3 linked regions of the Drosophila melanogaster genome follow. The protein of the gene in region 2 interacts with the protein of the main gene of each other region in a pairwise test. Each region holds a gene or a part of one and is shown on either strand. Other genes may lie near its edges.

Region 1 (4,316 bases), on a different chromosome or scaffold from region 2:
GCGTACGTAGTCAAAAGTTTGTGGTTCTCAAGAGCGATAATGGCCCTCTGATAAGGAGTCGACCTGCCACCGTTCAATAGACTCTGTCGTACAGTCAAACCTCCGCCGCAAAACGTACCTTTTTGAAATCTTCGAATTTCCAGCATCTCTATTTTGAACATTGCTAGCGTATTTTTGCAGAGATCTTCAAGCAAAACATATTGGTTCCAAAAGTAACTTAATTAAAAAAGCCATTTCTAAATGAGCGTTGTATATGTTTTATAGGTAGAAAGATTAGAAGTGTTATCTTGATATAACATTTATATTAGCTGAAACATTGAATTCCAATTCTAGTGCTTGATATTGCAGAAATTAATAAAAGATCTATAAAATCAGTTCGCGATGTTCGTCTTGAACAATTCAAACTGTAGACGTTTATATGGTGGCCATCTTGTAACATTGTAGCCATCTATCGCTCGCGAATGGGACGGCACTCTTTACTGGGGTTTTGTCTTTATGTACTCGTGTGTCCGGCACTGATTAGTGGCTCTCCCTTATCGCATATGCACACATATGCTCTCCGCAATGCCAACTTCTTGCGATCACCTTTGAAAATATGCTGACGAAGGCAGGAGGCAAAACGAAAAGCGCAGCGAAAAGTTAACTAGTGGGCATATCTGGGAATAATGAAATACAAGCGACTGATTACACACGAGTGGCGGCTTATAATTATATTGATTTTAATATAAGTTTTAGAGAGACTCATTCAGTCCTCCCAAACAGCAGAAGCCGGAGCACGTAAGCACCGGCGATCTAGCGCCAAAATTAGTTAATATTGGAAAGTGTGCGATTTGGGGGGGATTAAATATCGTAGTTTATGTGATTTGTACAATCGTTATTATCTCTGCATGCCGCGTGTCAAACTTGTGTTATAGATAATCAAAATCCATTTTCGAATTCGATTCGTTTGTTTTGCCACGTTGTTTGTTTCTGTGATTTTGTTTGCCCCCCCAATAGCATGCTGAAATGCAGAAAGTAGAACCATAAACCGAATACCATGATTTCCTATATACCATCCATTCAGACGCGAACCGCTAAAAGCCAAAGAGCCCACAGAACCCAGCCCGTAAATTAAAGCCCCAAACAGAGATTAGATCATGGCTGAGGATCCGGTGAACCAGCAGGCATTCGCTGAGGACGTGGCAGCTGCCGCTGCGGCTGGAGGAGCCGGCGGTTTTGCCGGTCCCGAGCCCGGACATCCCGACTTTAAGATGCCCAGTGCCGAGGAGATCTGGAAGCTGGTCGAGGGCATGGAGGGAATTTCGGACGACGAGCGAGCCGAGCTCCGCGAGAGCATCTTTAACCCGAAGCCGCCGTCGCCGGAGGACTTCATGCGCCAGTACGGGCATCCGGGCCACAGTTCCCGGGAGTACCTGGTGTTCTTCGTGATGCTGGCCCTCATACTCATTGTCTTTGGTAAGCGTCCTCCGGAACGAGCCACTAACGAGTCGTATAACCCTTATCGGGCGCGATATACGCACCCACCTGGGTTTCTGCTTAAAGGGCGATAAGGTTTTAGGAGGCGGCTATGTCGAAGCACTCACTCACTCGCTCACGAGCCACAGCTAGAATGTTTGCTTCGTTTAAAAGCGTTCGATTTTTGATAAGATAACCAGTGGTAAGCGTAGGATCCACCGCAGACATAGGTAGAGTGGAATCCAAAGAGCAGTATTTGCCAGAGACCCATGCCGGGCTGTAGTTGACACACCACTTAGCCCCTTTTCCGAACAACCCAAAACATGAGTTGGTCGGGTTCCAGTGACGAGCTCGGGGTTATTGAGCAGCTGAAAAAGTCCGTGGAGTCGATCGTGGCCAAAACTGGGCCCAGCAGCAAGTTCTCCAAGGATCTCGTCCAGCGGATCGGCGAGATGCAGAGCAAGCTGGAGTCCCTGGCCGAAACGGATCGGCATGTGTTTCTCGCCGAGATGAAGGACAAGTTCCAGCAGACGATTGGCAGAATCGAGGAGCGAATAGTGCAGCACGCCCATTTCGCACAGACCTACTCCAGTTCCATAGTGTCGGCAGTGATCTTTCTCTTGGTCTCCATATTCGGTCTCAGTTCCCTTGATCGCATAATGTATCAACGTCACCTTACTAACCGTCTCCCTTCTTTCCGCATTACAGCTCTCTTTGGCTACAAGCTGTACAAATCCCTGACGGAAAAGGAGCTCAAGAAGCAGGAGAAACTGAAGAGCAAGCAACAGAAGAAGGCCAAGAAGTCAAACTGAAGGAGATGGAGGCGAGGATATCATTGACGTAGTGCACTTTCCGGCCCTGAGACCTTCCATCTTGTTAATCAATACAATCGCCCTGTAAATGACTAAATCATAAACCAGTAAACGTAATAAAATAAAACGTACCCCATAACTCTTTTAAATGCCACGGTAATTGTGTTGTTACGACGAGTCGAATTAATTGCCATTAAAATACGGCATCAGGAAATGCAAATCGGTGTCGTGACCTAACTTGTTGCTGCCATCTAGGCAATCCGTCCAATCCTGGCCTCCGTTGTCATGGGAAACGGGGTCGTTTTGTCGAAGCTTCTCCTGTCAGGCCAGCTATTAATAGTTAAATTCAGTTTCCAGTTACCCAGTTAAGCAGCAACACTCGGAAAGGATCAACAATTTTTGCGGAAATAAAAAACATGTCCTATTCCAGCCGTAAGTTAAAAGCTCAACCATGACTTATCTATTAATCTAATGTGTCAACATGCCCTTCTAGGATTTGGTTTCGACTTCCATCTGCCGGATGAGGGATGGTGCTACCCGAAGAACGACATGCATTTCATCCGCAGCGCGGAATGGGTGCCCGTGGAGAAGGCAGGCGTGGGCCGCTCATTCGCCAATCCCAATGGCGTGATCTATCCGCGGGTGGTAGGCATGATTCCACGCTACGGCGGCCACGTTCCGGGCAACAAATTTCGTGTGGGCAACACCTATGGCCGTTCCACCATCGACGCCAAGCGTCATCTGGCCCTCAATCATGATTGAGGACCGAGTTATCGGAACACTCACTCACCATTAGCCAATCAAATTCGCTGTGTTACGCTTACAGAAGCACCCGAAATAAATCGTATCCAGTAGAAGCCTGTAGAAAATGGCAAATAGAAATAAAATCATACAAATTCAAATGTCCAAGAAAAGCACATTTAATTTATGATGGCTTTTTCGAGCAATAAAATTAATTAAACTTTAGGTCACAAGATAAGAATATATTCGTTATGGTACACAAGGTGCCAAAAACACTTTTCTCCTAACAAATATCAAGAAAAGTAACTATAATTATTGATCGCACGCGAAAAATTTTAAAATAAAATCTCAAAAAGTATTTATTTCATTTATTATTTGACTTTTAGTACATTTATTACAACATTTCTGTAAATGCTTCAATATTTTTTTATAATAATAAATACTTCTTGTTAATTTTCAATATTTTTAGAAATGAAAGGAGTGATATGTATATTTAAACGCCTTATGAGAGTATCAAGTATCAAAAAGGCGCGCAATTTAAATTCTTGCTCCGCTGCAACTGTCTGTATAACAATATTAAAACATCCTTACTTTCCTAGCTTTCTATTACTAATGTACTGTCGGTGCTTGGGGTCATATATTTTTAGATTTTTCATAGGAATTTTCATCTCAGAAAAATTAAATTAAACCGAAATCACGTAGTGTTACCATAACGCAATGAGAGCAAATACTCTGTTTTGTTTGGATTCCGTTGGGTATTTTGGGGACTGCTGGCGAAAGTCTTTCGAGAGATAACGAGTAAATAAGAAATCATCGTTAGCAAAAAACTTTTTTGAGAAGATCACCTAGCAAACCGACTGATTATCTGTAAGATACGAAAACGAGCTGCTTTCCCAGTAGCAGAGATCGGCGACTGATCCACGATGGGCATCAATTGCCTTAACATCTTCAGACGTGGCCTCCACACGAGTTCCGCCCGATTGCAGGTGATCCAGAGCACCACGCCCACCAAGCGGATATGCATCGTAGGCGCCGGACCCGCCGGCTTCTATGCCGCCCAATTGATCCTCAAGCAGCTGGACAATTGCGTGGTGGATGTGGTCGAGAAGCTGCCGGTTCCCTTCGGACTGGTGCGGTAAGCAGAACAATCTTTATAAGGCGGTGCTGTTGGCTGCCAGGCCAAAGCCAAATATTGGACCCACTACGGAGCGGAAGATGCCAGTGAAGTATGCTGAAGAGATCGACATGTGTGTAATCCTTGCCAGAAATCCAGGGGTAATGTAAACATACCTCCCACCTGGTCAAGAC
Region 2 (8,269 bases):
CATAGCCATGACCTTGTCTTCTTAGATCGTTGGCACAACGTACTTGATTGTGGAACTCGCAGAGCGTGGCAAATGTCATATTGCGGCCATTGCGGAGAATGCAGACAGGCCGGTAGTACCGGGGACAGCTGCGCTCGCACGGATCCTCATCCCGGTCCAAGCCGGCGGCAGTAGCCCTGCCATCATCCTCTTCATATTCATTATCGTTTGAATTCTCATCACCGTCGAAATTTTGATCATAATCTAGAGCTGTGTAGTAGTTATAGCTTCCCAAGTCTCTGTTGCTGTGATGGTCTTGCCAGCTCCATTCCTCCACAATGGTGTGCTCCGTTTGCACCTGTACTGCGAATGACAGGTGGAGCATGGCCAAAACAAGTGCTATGAATGCGTAAAACATACTGCTTTGGCTCCTATCGATCAACTGTATTCACGGCAGTCCAGTTTCCTTGCCTCTTAAATAGACAACTGTGCGCCAATCCACAGCGACGGCAGTTGTTCAAATAATTTCCATAATTAACTTTGTCGGTTTTTATTGTGACGGCTCATATCACAATTGATAGAGCTACCAAATAATTTGAATACTTTAAAGTGAATCAAGGGAACAGGCGAAGTCATACTTTGCCGTTCTGACTTAAAATTAGTCTAAAGGCAGATAGAGTTTGGTAACGAACGGCGCAGATCTTTAACTCAATCCTAAATTCTAATCTTGGGCAAGACTTGATTCTAACTCTTATGCAATTTGAAGCATATCTACATCTATATATTTTTATACCCGTGACTCGTAGAGTAAAAGGGTGTGCTACATTCGTTGAAAAGTATGTAAGAGGCAGAAGGAAACGTTTCCGACTGTATAAAGTATACATATTCTTGATCAGGATCAATAACCGAGTCGATCTAGACATGTCCGTTTGAACGTCGAGGAACTATAAAAGCTAGAACGTTGAGATTCAGCACACAGATTCTAGAGACAGATATTTGTTGACCTTTGTTACCACGCCCACTCAAAAATTTTACACAATTTTAAAAAATGTGTTGAAATTTTTTCATTTTTGATTAGTCTTGTAAAAATCGATAGATCGATTTTCTAAAAAACTTTTTGCAACTCCCTAAAACCGCCCAAAACAGCCACACCCAGAAAAATTATGAAATTTCGCGTCCGCATTTACACTAGCTGAGTAAGGGGTATCTGATATTCGGGGAACTCGACTATAGTATTCTCTCTTGTTTATATTTAATATTTCCATGATATACATATAAACTTACGCCATCGCATAAAAAAGTAAACCCACTAATATTTTTTACATATTTGGTGAAAACAATTTTATGCGTACTTAATAATTTATTCGTAGTGTTTCTTCTGCCTTGTTAACAATATGATCGAATTATAGTAATTTATTGTTCCCTTGATTATATTTGTATTCTTGATCATAAACTTTTATTCAGAATCCAATATCACTTTGATAGTTTATTAATATTATTGAAGCCCATAAATAATATGGGAGGTTAAGACTGTCCCCTGAAATACCGCTTAAAATAATTTTTCTAGCACCGAGGTCAAACCGCCCATGTTGTTAATGTTAGTAATTGTACGAAGTAAAGTTAAAATATTTCGTTAACAGCTGTATGACATATGCAAAAATGGGGCTGACCTCGGAGTGTTTCAGTCGCAGTCTAATCATAAAGTATGCTGCTACGGTGAACAGCAAATAAAAACTCATCAAGCAAGATAGAGACCACAAATAGTGCATGTTTTCGAATCCTAAAAAGGCTAACAAAACTTTCGACTTTTTAAATGAGCAAAAGATTTCCGTGTCTTCGCAAATTGTGTCGGCGCGTCCGTAGTCGTACAAGGATGCGACTAGGCCTTCCATACTATGGCGAAGGTAGCTAAGATGCATGAGAAACCTCATAAGAGGGGATATGTATGTTCCTCCGCCATACCCAATGCCGTAAATGGAAAGCAGGATCAGCGGCACGGCGAGAACTGGCCCCATGAACATTGCATTCTAAAGTATAAGTGAACTAATCAGGATATATTAAAAATAAATGTGCGCCAAATCGCTTACCACTAAGCTCAGTCTACTGGAGATCAACAAGCCAAAACTGTCGGAAGTTAGGGCCGTTACGAAAGCTATTGTAAATAGCATGGCAAAGCGGAACCATTCAAGTGGTTGGCTGGACATTAAGTACACAATGGATAGATAAATAACGGCCAAAATAAACATAGATGGTAGCTTTGAGGTAACCATTGCTGCGTAGTAGGAGCTCAGACGGTACCACTGGTTGTTGTACTCCCTTTTTAACAGATTGATTTCCGTGGGAACTTAAATGTAGGTATTTATTATTAAGAATTACTGCTTGAGGTTAAAATATAGTACTTACAATATAAGAGCACAGGCATCATAGGAAGGTAGAGGTATGCTATCACAATGGTGAACATGAAACCGAAGTTAAAAAGCGCTTTAGAGGCCGAGGTTCCCATACCAAAGTAGAGCGAACCCACCAGTAAAGCAAGAACGATGTTCATGTAGAACTTAAGCTTGATGTACGACTACGGAAAAAATAAAATTACATTGCCTTTCTACGTCGTTTTCTAAGTGCACTCACCTTATCTCTCCACATTTGGATTAGCATACGCACAAGCAATAGCTTGTACTGTAGCCACCAGCTACATTTGGCCTCCAAAAGTTTTGGGCTAATCTCTTCGTCAAACTGATCCCTTTCGTAAAACGACGATGCCCCCGATGTGGTGTCGGTTTTGGTTGTTGTTGTTTCACCTTCCACTGCTGGAGGACTCCATCGCGCAACTTTGCCGTTGCCCACGGCTTCTACCATTGGCTCGTGATAGGACCCGCCATACTCAAGGCAAGCAACTTCGATAATGAAGTCAGCCGGGTTGTAGGTTATTGGACAACAAAGCCCAAAGTTCTTCAAGAAAGGTACAATGTTGGACCCCTTTCCTTGGTAGACGCACTGGCCTTCGGCTAGAACGTAGACTGCATCGAGCATCTCGAAGATCTTGGCAGATGGCGTATGGATGGAGCAGATCACAGTGCGCCCCCCGGCGGCCAAAACTTTGAGTAGGGCAATGCATTGTGAACTCGATAAATCGTCTAAACCACTGTTGAGTTGGTGGTAACATTAGTTCTTCGACTTCAATATTTATCTTATACTCACGTTGTAGGTTCATCTAGAAAGATGACAGGTGGGTTGTTGACCAGCTCAAGGGCAATGCATAAACGCTTTCGCTCACCCCCAGATAGCTTTTGAGCCATGGTGTTTAGGGTGTCTTTTAGGCGCAACATTCCCAAAATTTCGTCAATCTGCTCAAATGTTAAGATAAATACACGACAAAGTGCATGATTTAAAATCAATCTTACCACTTCTAGCTTTTGTTTTAAATTTAGTTCTTTTCCCAACTTCAAGTTTGCCGCCAAAATCATCATTTCTAGTACGGTAAACTGTGAGTCCAGGACATCAGTCTATGAATTACACCAATATTTATGGGAACGCAATTCAGTAATCCACTTTTACCTGCATTATATATCGAGACATTTTGCGAAAGACTCGCATATCTCGCGGACTGTTGTTTACCAAAATCTCGCCGGATTCGCACACGGCGCTATCGGTAAATATTAAAGGAGTATTATAAGGGGGTCGTTTGTGTTATATCTTACCCAAAGCCCGCCAGCAGGTTTAGCAGTGTGGTTTTACCAGCGCCTGAAGGCCCTATAATCGCAGTAAGTTCGTGAGAGTGAAACATTCCATTGACTCTCCGCAAAATCGTCTTTGTTTTTGAAGCTGTGGGGTGTGATGACCATATTAAAAAGAATAATTTTAATGTTTCATTGTAAGGGAAGATGTCGGCATTAATTTATTGTCGTTAATGTGGAATTAGACGGAAATTGCTATTTAATATGTGCATGTTCAGCATTAGAAATCAAGCGAGCTGTGGAAGCAGTAATTACTTCGAAAATGTGCAATTACCATTCTTAATACCCCATTATCAATCACGAATATATTCATTATCAATTACTCAACCGTAATAGACATAAGCTGATTTGATACACTCACCATTGGTCTGGTCGGGAACCACATAACATAGTTCCGAAAACTGCAAATTTACCGCTGGCCAGGATGGCAAATACTTGAGGCCGAGGACTGTTTGAAAGTCCTCAGATTGATCGGGCTCGAGGCTATCGGCGTTAATGTCGCTGCTATATTGAAGGGAGCTGATTTGGGAGGTTGTACTGCCTTTTACGCTGCTGGCAGTTTCCATTTTAATATTTCTAGACTTCGTTGTTGTTTTGAATCGATGTCATTGCTCCTTGAGAAGGAAAATGGTGATTTTTTGATAAGAAATTCAATAATTTCACTTCGCACTAAAATCGCTTATAAGAATTGATCTGTTTACCGTTCACATAATGCTTTGCTTTTAAAGATAACCTTTTAAGGTGCTCGTTCGAAATCTGGAATCCTCGTTTTAAGGCGCAGTTTTATTTGCACTATACACTAGAAATTAATTGGTTAACAGTACAAGAGAAGGCAGTACGTTTTTTTGGCTTAAACCAGTTTGATAAACTCATCATCAACTCATGTGTCGTTTGCTTGCTACCTCAATTCAAGTTAATTAAAAGCGGTAATTTGCATTTCTAAAAATTACTTACGCGTATCTGGGACCACGGAAAGCGCCCTCCCTTCGTTCTGGAAACAAATTCCGAACTGACCGAAGAACTTTTTAAATTAATTTCATTTACCCTACGAAATGCGCGATCGTAGTCTCTGAGCGCAGCCCGAAAACAAACTCAGATTTTCAATTGATGGAAAGCAGTACACAGTACATGCACGACTGACAGCCTGCTCGAGTTCTGACCGAATGACTAGTCGTCTGACTTCAACGACGGCCCGGAGATCTGACGGTCCGGGTATATGCCGACCCAGTCAGGGAATGGGGGAAGAGCAAGTGGCATGGCGAGCTGCTGAGTAAAGGCAATACAAACCGAAACTGGGCAGTCGATTTGCAATTATTCCGATGCAGCTTCAACACTACAGAACTTTCTGAGAAATTCGTGCGTTATCAGCGAGTGGGTGAACCCATAGCGGAAGTTTGGATCGGCACTAGATTTAAGGCGGTCGGGCGGACAGTACGGATGCGCAATCTTTACGTTATTATTCACTCTTTATCTTCTTTTTACTTTGACTGATTGCGGGTCTCATGTTTTGGCAACCGAACCGCTTTATCTGTTGAAAGCGTCAGTCTATGAATACAAATTTAATTGTGAGTCGGCCTCACCATTGGCGCCACTTTTTGATACCGTTTAAATCAGTTTCGTTTAGCGTCTTGCGAATGCCGTATTATGCTGCTCATAGCAAGACGTTTTTTCTTGCTTGTCTAGGGTATACAATATGCGACTCGCCGGCAAATCATTTTGGCCGGTGCTGTGAGTAATGGTGCATGTAAAATGTACTGAAGCGAGAATATTGAACTGTGATACATGCATCAAGAGTCCAACGAATTAATTTCACGTACATGTATATAAAAGATTAGGTATGTAAATAAATCCTTATGTTTTTAAATAATACAAAACTTTTCAACCAAAGGTCTCTGATAACAACTGTCTTGGCTGACCCAGAAATCGATTCAATAATTGTCTTTGCTCGTGTCACCCAGAAGCGGGGTAAATAATAGTCAAAAACTTCTTTCGTGCTTGTGTGCAGTGCTGCAAGCACTGTCGCAGTTGTTTTCGACTTCGAGTTCAACGAACGCGTTAGATACAGCCGGCGTACACTACTATTTGCAGCTGCGTAAATGCACCACTCACTGGCTCTGACGCTGGCGCTGCAGCGGGTGTATCGGTAGAGCGATAGGGGGCACTTACTCCACTTTCTTTTTGTAGTTGCTGCTGTCGCTGGCTTTTTTCACTCTTTCTCATGGCGGCAACCACGCCACAGCAGCGAAGAAGCGTCGTCTTGTTGCACCGACGACCGAATATGTACTAAATGCGAGTGCAGGAAGACTGCGGCAGTGACTGCTACTGCAAATGCTAGATTTACAGAGGCGAAGTCTAGTGCCCGGGCCGAATTCTTCTGCCCTTCAGAAGTCTAGAGGCTGGCTTCAGCTATAAAAGATCAAAAACTTGTTTTGCAGCCCATTGAATCCGATTCGAAGGATATGGCCAGTCTATTTATACCGATTCCACTCACTCACCACTCACAAATAAAAAAGAAAGAGAGACCAGGCTTTAGCTTCAGTCAAGTCCTTACCTTAATTATAGTAGCTTAAAATTTTGAGTACGATTTCCAATTAGGATTTTGTTAAGGATCGAAATATTATAAGTGACATTCCTTTAAAATTGAATACCAAACACTATTTCTGAATGAAATTAAAGCAGGCACATTTATAGGAAGGGGTCCCCATAATTTCGAACAATTTAAGGCATGTCATTTGCAAAATTTTAAACTCCTAGCAATAGTGTGAACAAAACAGCGGGATGTTTATGTTTTCATATCTGGGATCCCACTTGGAAATTTACAGCATTCGTATCCCATGTGGTGAATGCTACAATGCTAAAACCTTTTTCAAATTAAGAAAATAAGATATTTTTGCGACGGTGGTTTATGTGTATGTAAGTAAATGCTTGATTGCTTGAATAGACGCCCCAGAAAAACGTTGTCGTCCACTGCAAGCGATTCGAATTTAAACGGCCGACTCGCACGACTTGATTTCGTTTTCCGGCAGATGGCGCTCCAAGAGCTTTTAAGTAGATAATGCCGTTGATCACAAAAAATAATGGGTATCATAATCTCAAATTGTCTAATTTCAACTTTTTAGGTAGACATCTTTATTTGCCCCAAGAACACGTAGTTTGTACAGTATATATTCAAAAATGTTTATTCTAAACCTGTAATAAGAAAATATTACAAAAAATTCCAAAGGGTCTTAAAGTACCTTGAATAAAAATATTAATGTATATAGACACAAAACATGTTCGTTTTTAATTTAAAGTCATTCAAAAATCCTTCGGTAAATACAATTGGAAATGTTATTCAGTTATTTTTATTTAGAAAATTGGTTTCACGTTCAATAACTTATTTCATTATACGATTCACTTATATCAATGATGTGCTCCAACAGTGGTTTGAATTGGTTTTACTACATATGCGGCTGGAATCAAGCTGATTTAAGATAAGAAACCTCCTTGCGTTTGTATCACTTAAAAGAAGAATTTCGCGACTAAAAACTAGACAAAAAGAAATTTGTAAAAGATTAATGATTAAGAACAAAACCCAAGACGCTTTTTTGAAAACTACAATATAAAGTACGTACATAGAAAGCTATTAAATCCAAAACAACATTTAAAATTATGTAATATGCTTATCGCACAGTCTTCAGCTTCCAGCGCAAGAACAGGTATGCCGAGATGCGCAGCACCACGAAGATCACAATTAGGGCCACAATGTCGAGTGTAAAGTTAGCGTTAACCATGTCCAGTTCCTCCAGCGTGGTAATAGGTGATTTAAAATGGCAGTAAGTCTGGAAGCACCTAAGTTTCTCCCGTCCGTAACCGTAGGTGGCCAGAGCTGTGCCCTCGAATCCATATCGTATGTACGACAAATATGTGATCCACCTTAAGTATACTGGTATAGCGTCAAAGGAGACAAAGAAGCCGGAGAACAGAAGGAAGGGCACGGACATCACTGGGGCCAGGAAGACACCGTTCTGAACATTCATTGCAGCGCCTACCACCAGACCCACGGACTGAGCAACGAAAGAAATGAGAAGGCAGGCCGACAAGAACATGGAAAAGCGGAATAGCTCCCAAGGTTGTGAAGTGAAATAATACACGATCGACACGTAGATAACGCAGAAAATAGCCTAAAAGAAACAATTATTTTGTATTAGTAACATTCGCTCTACTCAACAGCTGAGTGCAACTCACTTGAAACGGTAAATCAGCAACTGATATAGCCAAATAGTAGGACTTTAGCGAGTACCAGCGATTAAAGTTTTCTTTCAACAAAACGGGCATCTCAAGCGGGACTAGAACACACAAAATAATATATTAACTACAGAGAAAGGAATATCAAACTGGTTTCCTTACATGATAGGATCGTAATAGTCATAGATGTATACATGAGGAAAAGCATGTTAAAGAATAGGAATCCCAGGTTGCTCAAAACTTTTGCTCCATCATTGCCAATGTCATAGTAGAGTGCCCCAATCAAAAATCCAACTAACAGATGGGCAAATAAACGCAGATACATAAGA
Region 3 (6,057 bases), on a different chromosome or scaffold from region 2:
CTGCCACGTGTGGCAGCGACAAATTGACATTGATGTGAGCGGTGGAGTGGGTGCATTCCAACAGGTGTTCGAATTAGATGGCATTAACCAACACTGCAAGCGGCTAGCGACCGTAACTGTACTTTGAACTTTAAGCCCTTTTTACCTTGGTAGGTTCGTTGAAAGCATAGGTAGCATATTAAAACAATTTACACCTTTATATAACTGCTAAGTATCAAATACCACCTAAATACAAATACTATGCAAAAATGCCTCGTTTGCAGTTAATTTTTAAGCTAAGTGTAGTGAAGTGGCGTGAATGCGTCATTTTCTAAGCTATTTGCTCGTGTGATCGGTGGAGTGCATCCCCCAAAAATGTGGCACTGCGATGCGGCACAACGCCAGCGTATCAAAAACTCCTTCAAGGACCTTCTCCAGTGCCACTCAAACTGTAATTAAAGCCAACGCTGCTGCTCATCGACTCTTGAAGCCGTTTGCAATCCGTTCGTTCGCTCAACAATGGGAGTTTAATGTGCGGGCCTTGGGGCATTTTCATCGCATAATCATTTTTTTTTTTTGTGCCCGAACAGGGATCATAAATATGTCGCTGGCACTTGAGGCAGCCTCTCGCATTTATGTCGCTGCACACGGGGAGGAAAACACCAACCCCCTGCCACCCCTTTCCACTGCATTTTCGTTGCAGGTTCTTGAGTGTACGTGTACGTTGCCTGCACTCTCAATTATGTCTTAATTCGTATCTAATGGATATTTTCTGTGTGAATTTTCATGATTAATCGCCGCCCGAGGATGCAGGGGGGCAGCAGCAATCACACTGAAACAAAAATTGCACTTGCGACCATGTGAGAGTGCACTCTGTGCTACTACTTATACTAACAAAAGAATTGATTTTATTTGGACTACAGAATTTTTCTTTCATTATAATAAATTTTGAATTTTAAATTTTTAGACGTGGCCAATACTAATTTGCAGAATATATCGGATATTTTTCTCAGTGTACGTAAAAGGGTGGTTTGCCGACTGCAGTTGTTCACACATGTGTTCACAAAAAGAGTGCAAAGATTGTGGGTGGTGGGGGGCGTACAATGAAACTGCGAGCGATAACTCAACTCCACCGAAGGTTCCCAACTTTCTTTCCCCCTCGATTTTCTTTTTTTTTGAAAATTTGCAAGGCGTTGGCATGGGGTGGGATGAAATTTGCAATTGCTGGGGTGTGGCAGTTCGGCATTAACGGCATATGCATCGTATGTAGGTTTTTACGTTTGTGTGCGTAGACGGCGACGTGTTGCAACTTCCGGTGACGTCGACGTAGTCGCAAAAAGTGATTACGCGGCATTTGTGGTAGCAGCAAACCGGCGACGGTTTTTGCAAACATTTCCAAGAATGCAACCGCATTTGCCGACACCCCCCTCCCCCCTTTCACCGTACAAACACCACCCACTTTTTCGTTGGTAAACAAAAAGCATCTGAAATGCAATTCGCACTTCGGCAGCACATTGGCGCCATCTAGCCGCGCTTAGGCGAACTATGAAAGAGAGCCAGATAACGCGTGTGGTTTTCCGAGAGAGAAAATTGGTGGAAACCCAATCGAGTTGGGAATTTTATCTAAGAGCGAGAGAGTGGTGCCGGTTCTCCGTTCAATTTTCCTCTCTGTTTATCTTTGACTGCTCCATTTGCATTCATTTTAGGCGTTATTGGTGTCTCTGCTGCAACCGCTCCCAAAAAATCAGATTTACATGTCGTTGTTGTTGGTTCTTTTTTATTTATTTATTTTACTTAGCATCGCATCTGATAAGAAAGTTACATATGTGTGCTGGGCGAGCAATGAACTTATTGGAGCCTCTATGGGCAGGGCTAATTGGGACCGGTCAATGTGAGCGGTGAAGGCTAATTAGCTGTGGGCGGCGGAAGTACGACATCTTATTGGATAGAAAATGGGGGGAGATAGGACTAATGGAAAATCAAAGATTTTCTTTTGTTTACGGCTTGATAAGAAATTGTATTAGGCTCTGCAATGAATTTATAGCCAAAACTTTCGTGGGTACTTGATAAAGGGTATGAAAATTTCTTTTATTTCTTTATTGAAAACCTGTATATATCGAACAAAATATGATTGAATGTTAATTCAATCTGGATAACAATACTTATACAATATAACTTTAGATCCTTTCAAAACTCAGTCCTTTGAGATGATATTTTAGTTAGCGTGGTTTCAAACCATCCAGTCTCACTTTATCTGACTCAATGAGAATCCAACTTGAGTCTTGCCGGCTCAGATAAGCCCCGTTATCTGAGCGAGAGAGCATCCCATATGATTTTTGCACAAAAAGCCGAAGTATGCGTTCGTGCTGTTGCACACAATCACACTCTCTTCGTATGTGTATGTGTTTGCCTCGTGGTCTTGCTCTCCCGCTCTCGTGTTCTGTTAGCTCACTTCGGCACTTAACAGCGGCTGAGAATCGAGGTTTTGAAGTTCGTGGCGTACACAGATACAATACAGCGTTAGTTCGAAAAAAATCGTGAACGTGTTTGGACACATTGTGGAGCGCACCGTTATTTCCTTATAGCAGACAGCTCAGCAGATTCGCGCGTGCAAATTCTCACCCTTCTCTTCAACCTCCTCTCCCACCCACCACCACCATCGGTCGGTCGCTGTTGTAGCTGTTGTTGTTGTGCGGGCAACTTGCTTTTTGTGGGCGGGGCACGCGGGTCATCGCAAATAGCAAAATCGTCAATCGTCAATCGTCATCGGCGAAACGTGTGTGCAGAATTAATGAAATGCCCGCGCCGCTTCTTCATCAATGAAAACAAAAAGCGAGGAGACTATCCGCCAAATAGTATCTCAAAGATTTGTAGCTGTGCTTTCGGTTAACGTTGTGTTTGGGCTAACATTTTTGTTTTGACAACAGTGCGTGCTAACAAACTAGCCACGAATTGCCAAAATTATCGCGGTAAGTCCTTCGTTTGGTGCCTAATTATTATTCTGTGCTGTGATGTTACTAAGTTTAGTACTGATATTAATTAGTTTAGTTAATACCTTATATTTACTTTTTTGTTTTTGGTGCGCAGCATTTTAAATATATTTTAATATAGTTAGAAGAAAATACTGATATTCAGTATGAAAAAGAAGAAAAATGGTTTTTAGTGATGGAGAGAATATTGCTATACAACTAGACTGAAATAGGGCTAATTTAGTAATATTTTGATTGATAACCATTGAATTTTAATCAATAATCTAAGCAAATTTACGTTACCTCACATATGAATAACTTTAGAGCATACGCTACATAGCTAAAAAATAGCTAGTTTAAGGCGTAAATTGGTTGTTTTACTATAATTTGTTTAAAATAGTGTGTAAACAGGATAAAATGCATAACTAAAGATTGACCTTATCAGATATTACCGTTACACTTAATGAAGAAGCTCTTTAAGGCCAGAAAAACGCCTTGACAGCAGCATGACATTCTCTTTTCTTTTATTGCTGCTGTTGTTTCAATGTTCGATCGATAAGTTTTATGAGTTTTCGTTGTGAAATTTTGAAATCATTAATTATGTCTCGGGCCGCAGACTCGCTCGGAGTTTCCGTCCAGGGCCAGCCGTCTCAATTTTGGGGTTTCTGTCTGGGGAACAGGTTTCGTTAGAGCGAAAAACTTAAAGAACTTTTCGAGGTTTGTGCGATTCCGGGAACTTGTTAGGTGCTGCCTGGACTCGTGTTTGCTTGCCCCTCTTTATGGAGATGTGGATCTTTATGAATGAACGAGGTGGGGCTCAGTTTGGAGGCTCGGGCAGCTGGCCGACTGGGCGGCTGAGCGGTCCGAATGTCTCGTGTTGTGGGCCTTTCTCGTTGACACTTTTGAGGAATGTCAACTTGGCCCCACTGGCCTGGCCAACTGGGAATGGGTTAGACGTGAGCTGGCGTAAGTCTAAGATGCTGGGATGTACTAAAGTTCGAGGAATTCGAAAGGTGTATACAGTTTGGACCGAACTCAAGAAGACTTCAAGGAAATGGCTGTAGAAGAACAAAAATATTTAGCGGCATTAAACCAAATAAGCTTTGTAACCTTATGGGTTTCAGAGTTACTGTGTATTTATAAACAATATTCCGACATTATAAACTATTTCAATGATGATCATCCCCATAGAAACGATTTTGTATTATTTTAATACGAGCTTATCTTTATGTTGCGCCTTCCACTCTGTGCTTCCATCTTCTATTGGTGACCTTCATTATCTCCATCTGAGAACAACCTCGAGGCGAAATCTTAAAGCAAATCCCCACTCATTAAAGCTCCCACTCTCTGTTGTTATCAGGCCCGAAAACGCCAAGGCCGAAGCCGAAAACTTCCAACCTGCATTAGCTAAGCAGACAACTGAGCAGGGGAAGCTATGTACATAGCTGGGTCTGAAACAGAAAACTTTTTAATTACCAACAGGAAAAAACATTTAAGATAAAAGCCAGGTAATATGCGGGGCAGGTGGGACAGGTCACTCCGCCCCCACACCCACTTTTGCATAAATTGAAATTATGGCAACTGTTTTCAGACTTCAGGATGAAGTAGATTCCGAGTCGAAATCGAACCTTTTACTTCTCACTCACTGACCCGAAGGTATTTATGACCTTCGTAAATAGGAAACCGAAGGAATAAGCAGCAGGTTTTAGCCATCAGAGAGCTACAAATTTTACAGCTTAAATATTTTTTAGCCATTAGATAAACAAATAGAAGGGGCAGAGCGATTGAGTCAGAACCAAAGGTGGAAGAGAAAAGAAAAGAACGAAAATATCTTTCAAGTACAATGTTAGGTAAATATAAACAAAACTTTACGTCTTTCGAGCGAGCTCACACTTCTTTTTACAACCTCCAAGACTTTTGGATGCTGCACTTTGGCTGTTGCTGGTGTTTTGGTTCTTCCTTTTTAGCTACTTAAAGCTTTTAGAGCGGCAGCTAGATGTAATATAAATTACATTAGCTAAGTGCCAGGCGGCAATTAAAAACAAAAAATACTCGTGAAGTTTTCCTCCGCCTTTGTTGTTGCTGATAATGTTGTTAATGATGTTGCGGCAGCATCTTCAGCAGCCCCATCCCATCGGCGGCATCATCATCAGTGGCATCATCATTAAGAACATCATTGCCACCATTAGCAGCATCATTAGAACGTCAACTTAATCAAGGTTAAAAAGCATGTGGCGTGCCTGCCCCAAAAAAGTCGAGGAAAACTCAAGAGATGCGGGAGCTGGCATCCCGCTCTATCTTTCTCTTTTTATGTGTGGTATATGGGTATATGTACATATATATATATATATATCTTCGATTCTGTAATTATTGACGCCGACGATGTCTTCCACGTTAGACATAAACATAAACATATTGCGATGACTGAAATTCGGTAAGATTAGAAAAAGTTATGCAAGGATTGGGCAAATTATGTTGGCTAACATGGGGCAATATTTTTCGGGAGCCTTGTGCGATGTGGCAAGTGTGGTGGTAAACATAAATGGTAGGTAATTGAATAGAGAAAAATTGAGAGCGAAAATGTTGATTAATCGAATAATGATTTATAGCAAGGGAATAGAAAGGGAGCTACCTCACAATGACCAGTATAATCTACCACAAAGAAATAAAAAAAAACTTTAAACCCCGATGATTCAATATTATCAGATTTAGCAAATCATACCACTGATATTTTTATAACCCTTGTTCGTTTTTCACTTTTCAATTTAACCACCATTTGCCAATCCCCCATCATCAAGATAGAATCGAGATTCAGCTGCCTTGACATTTATGATGCCAAAGCAAATACTTGAAACTCTAATAACCCCAGAAAATCACCCCAAATTACAAGTACGAAAATAACTTCCCCCGAATGACCACCATTAGGCCTGAAATCAAAACATTTTACAACAGCAATTATGTTATTTTTTGTTTTTTGTGTTTTGCGCGATCAGAGCCAAAGTCAAAGTAATTTCTATTTTAATAACTAGGCAGCGTGGCCAAGCCAAGTCCATTAAAAATAAATATCTCTAGAGATATGTATATATTTTGCAATTAAATCAGCAACAAA

What was found.
Region 1: the proteins of CG4822 (region 2) and CG18336 interact in a two-hybrid assay, tested with the Drosophila melanogaster proteins (one large-scale study listed by BioGRID).
Region 3: the proteins of CG4822 (region 2) and caps interact in a two-hybrid assay, tested with the Drosophila melanogaster proteins (one large-scale study listed by BioGRID).

What each region holds. Positions count from the first base shown.
Region 1 is NT_033778.4:11,292,633-11,296,948, reverse strand, and holds CG18336 (uncharacterized protein), read left to right. Parts: upstream 1-2,362; 5' UTR 2,363-2,683; coding exon 2,684-2,699; intron 2,700-2,760; coding exon 2,761-3,029; 3' UTR 3,030-3,173; downstream 3,174-4,316. Other genes in the region: CG42336 (uncharacterized protein), read left to right, coding at 1,779-2,267; CG30033 (uncharacterized protein), read right to left, coding at 4,160-4,239, 4,299-4,316; dare (defective in the avoidance of repellents), read left to right, coding at 3,932-4,143.
Region 2 is NT_033779.5:115,754-124,022, forward strand, and holds CG4822 (uncharacterized protein), read right to left. Parts: upstream 6,002-8,269; 5' UTR 4,280-6,001; coding exon 4,075-4,279; intron 3,802-4,074; coding exon 3,678-3,801; coding exon of another isoform or gene 3,674-3,677; exon of another isoform or gene 3,623-3,673; coding exon 3,535-3,622; coding exon of another isoform or gene 3,517-3,534; exon of another isoform or gene 3,483-3,516; coding exon 3,381-3,482; intron 3,324-3,380; coding exon 3,178-3,323; intron 3,122-3,177; coding exon 2,608-3,121; intron 2,552-2,607; coding exon 2,383-2,551; intron 2,324-2,382; coding exon 2,067-2,323; intron 2,007-2,066; coding exon 1,578-2,006; 3' UTR 1,326-1,577; downstream 1-1,325. Other genes in the region: CG13694 (uncharacterized protein), read right to left, coding at 1-364; CG3164 (uncharacterized protein), read right to left, coding at 7,376-7,876, 7,941-8,041, 8,103-8,269.
Region 3 is NT_037436.4:13,226,193-13,232,249, forward strand, and holds the start of caps (capricious), read left to right. Parts: upstream 1-2,499; 5' UTR 2,500-2,948; intron 2,949-6,057.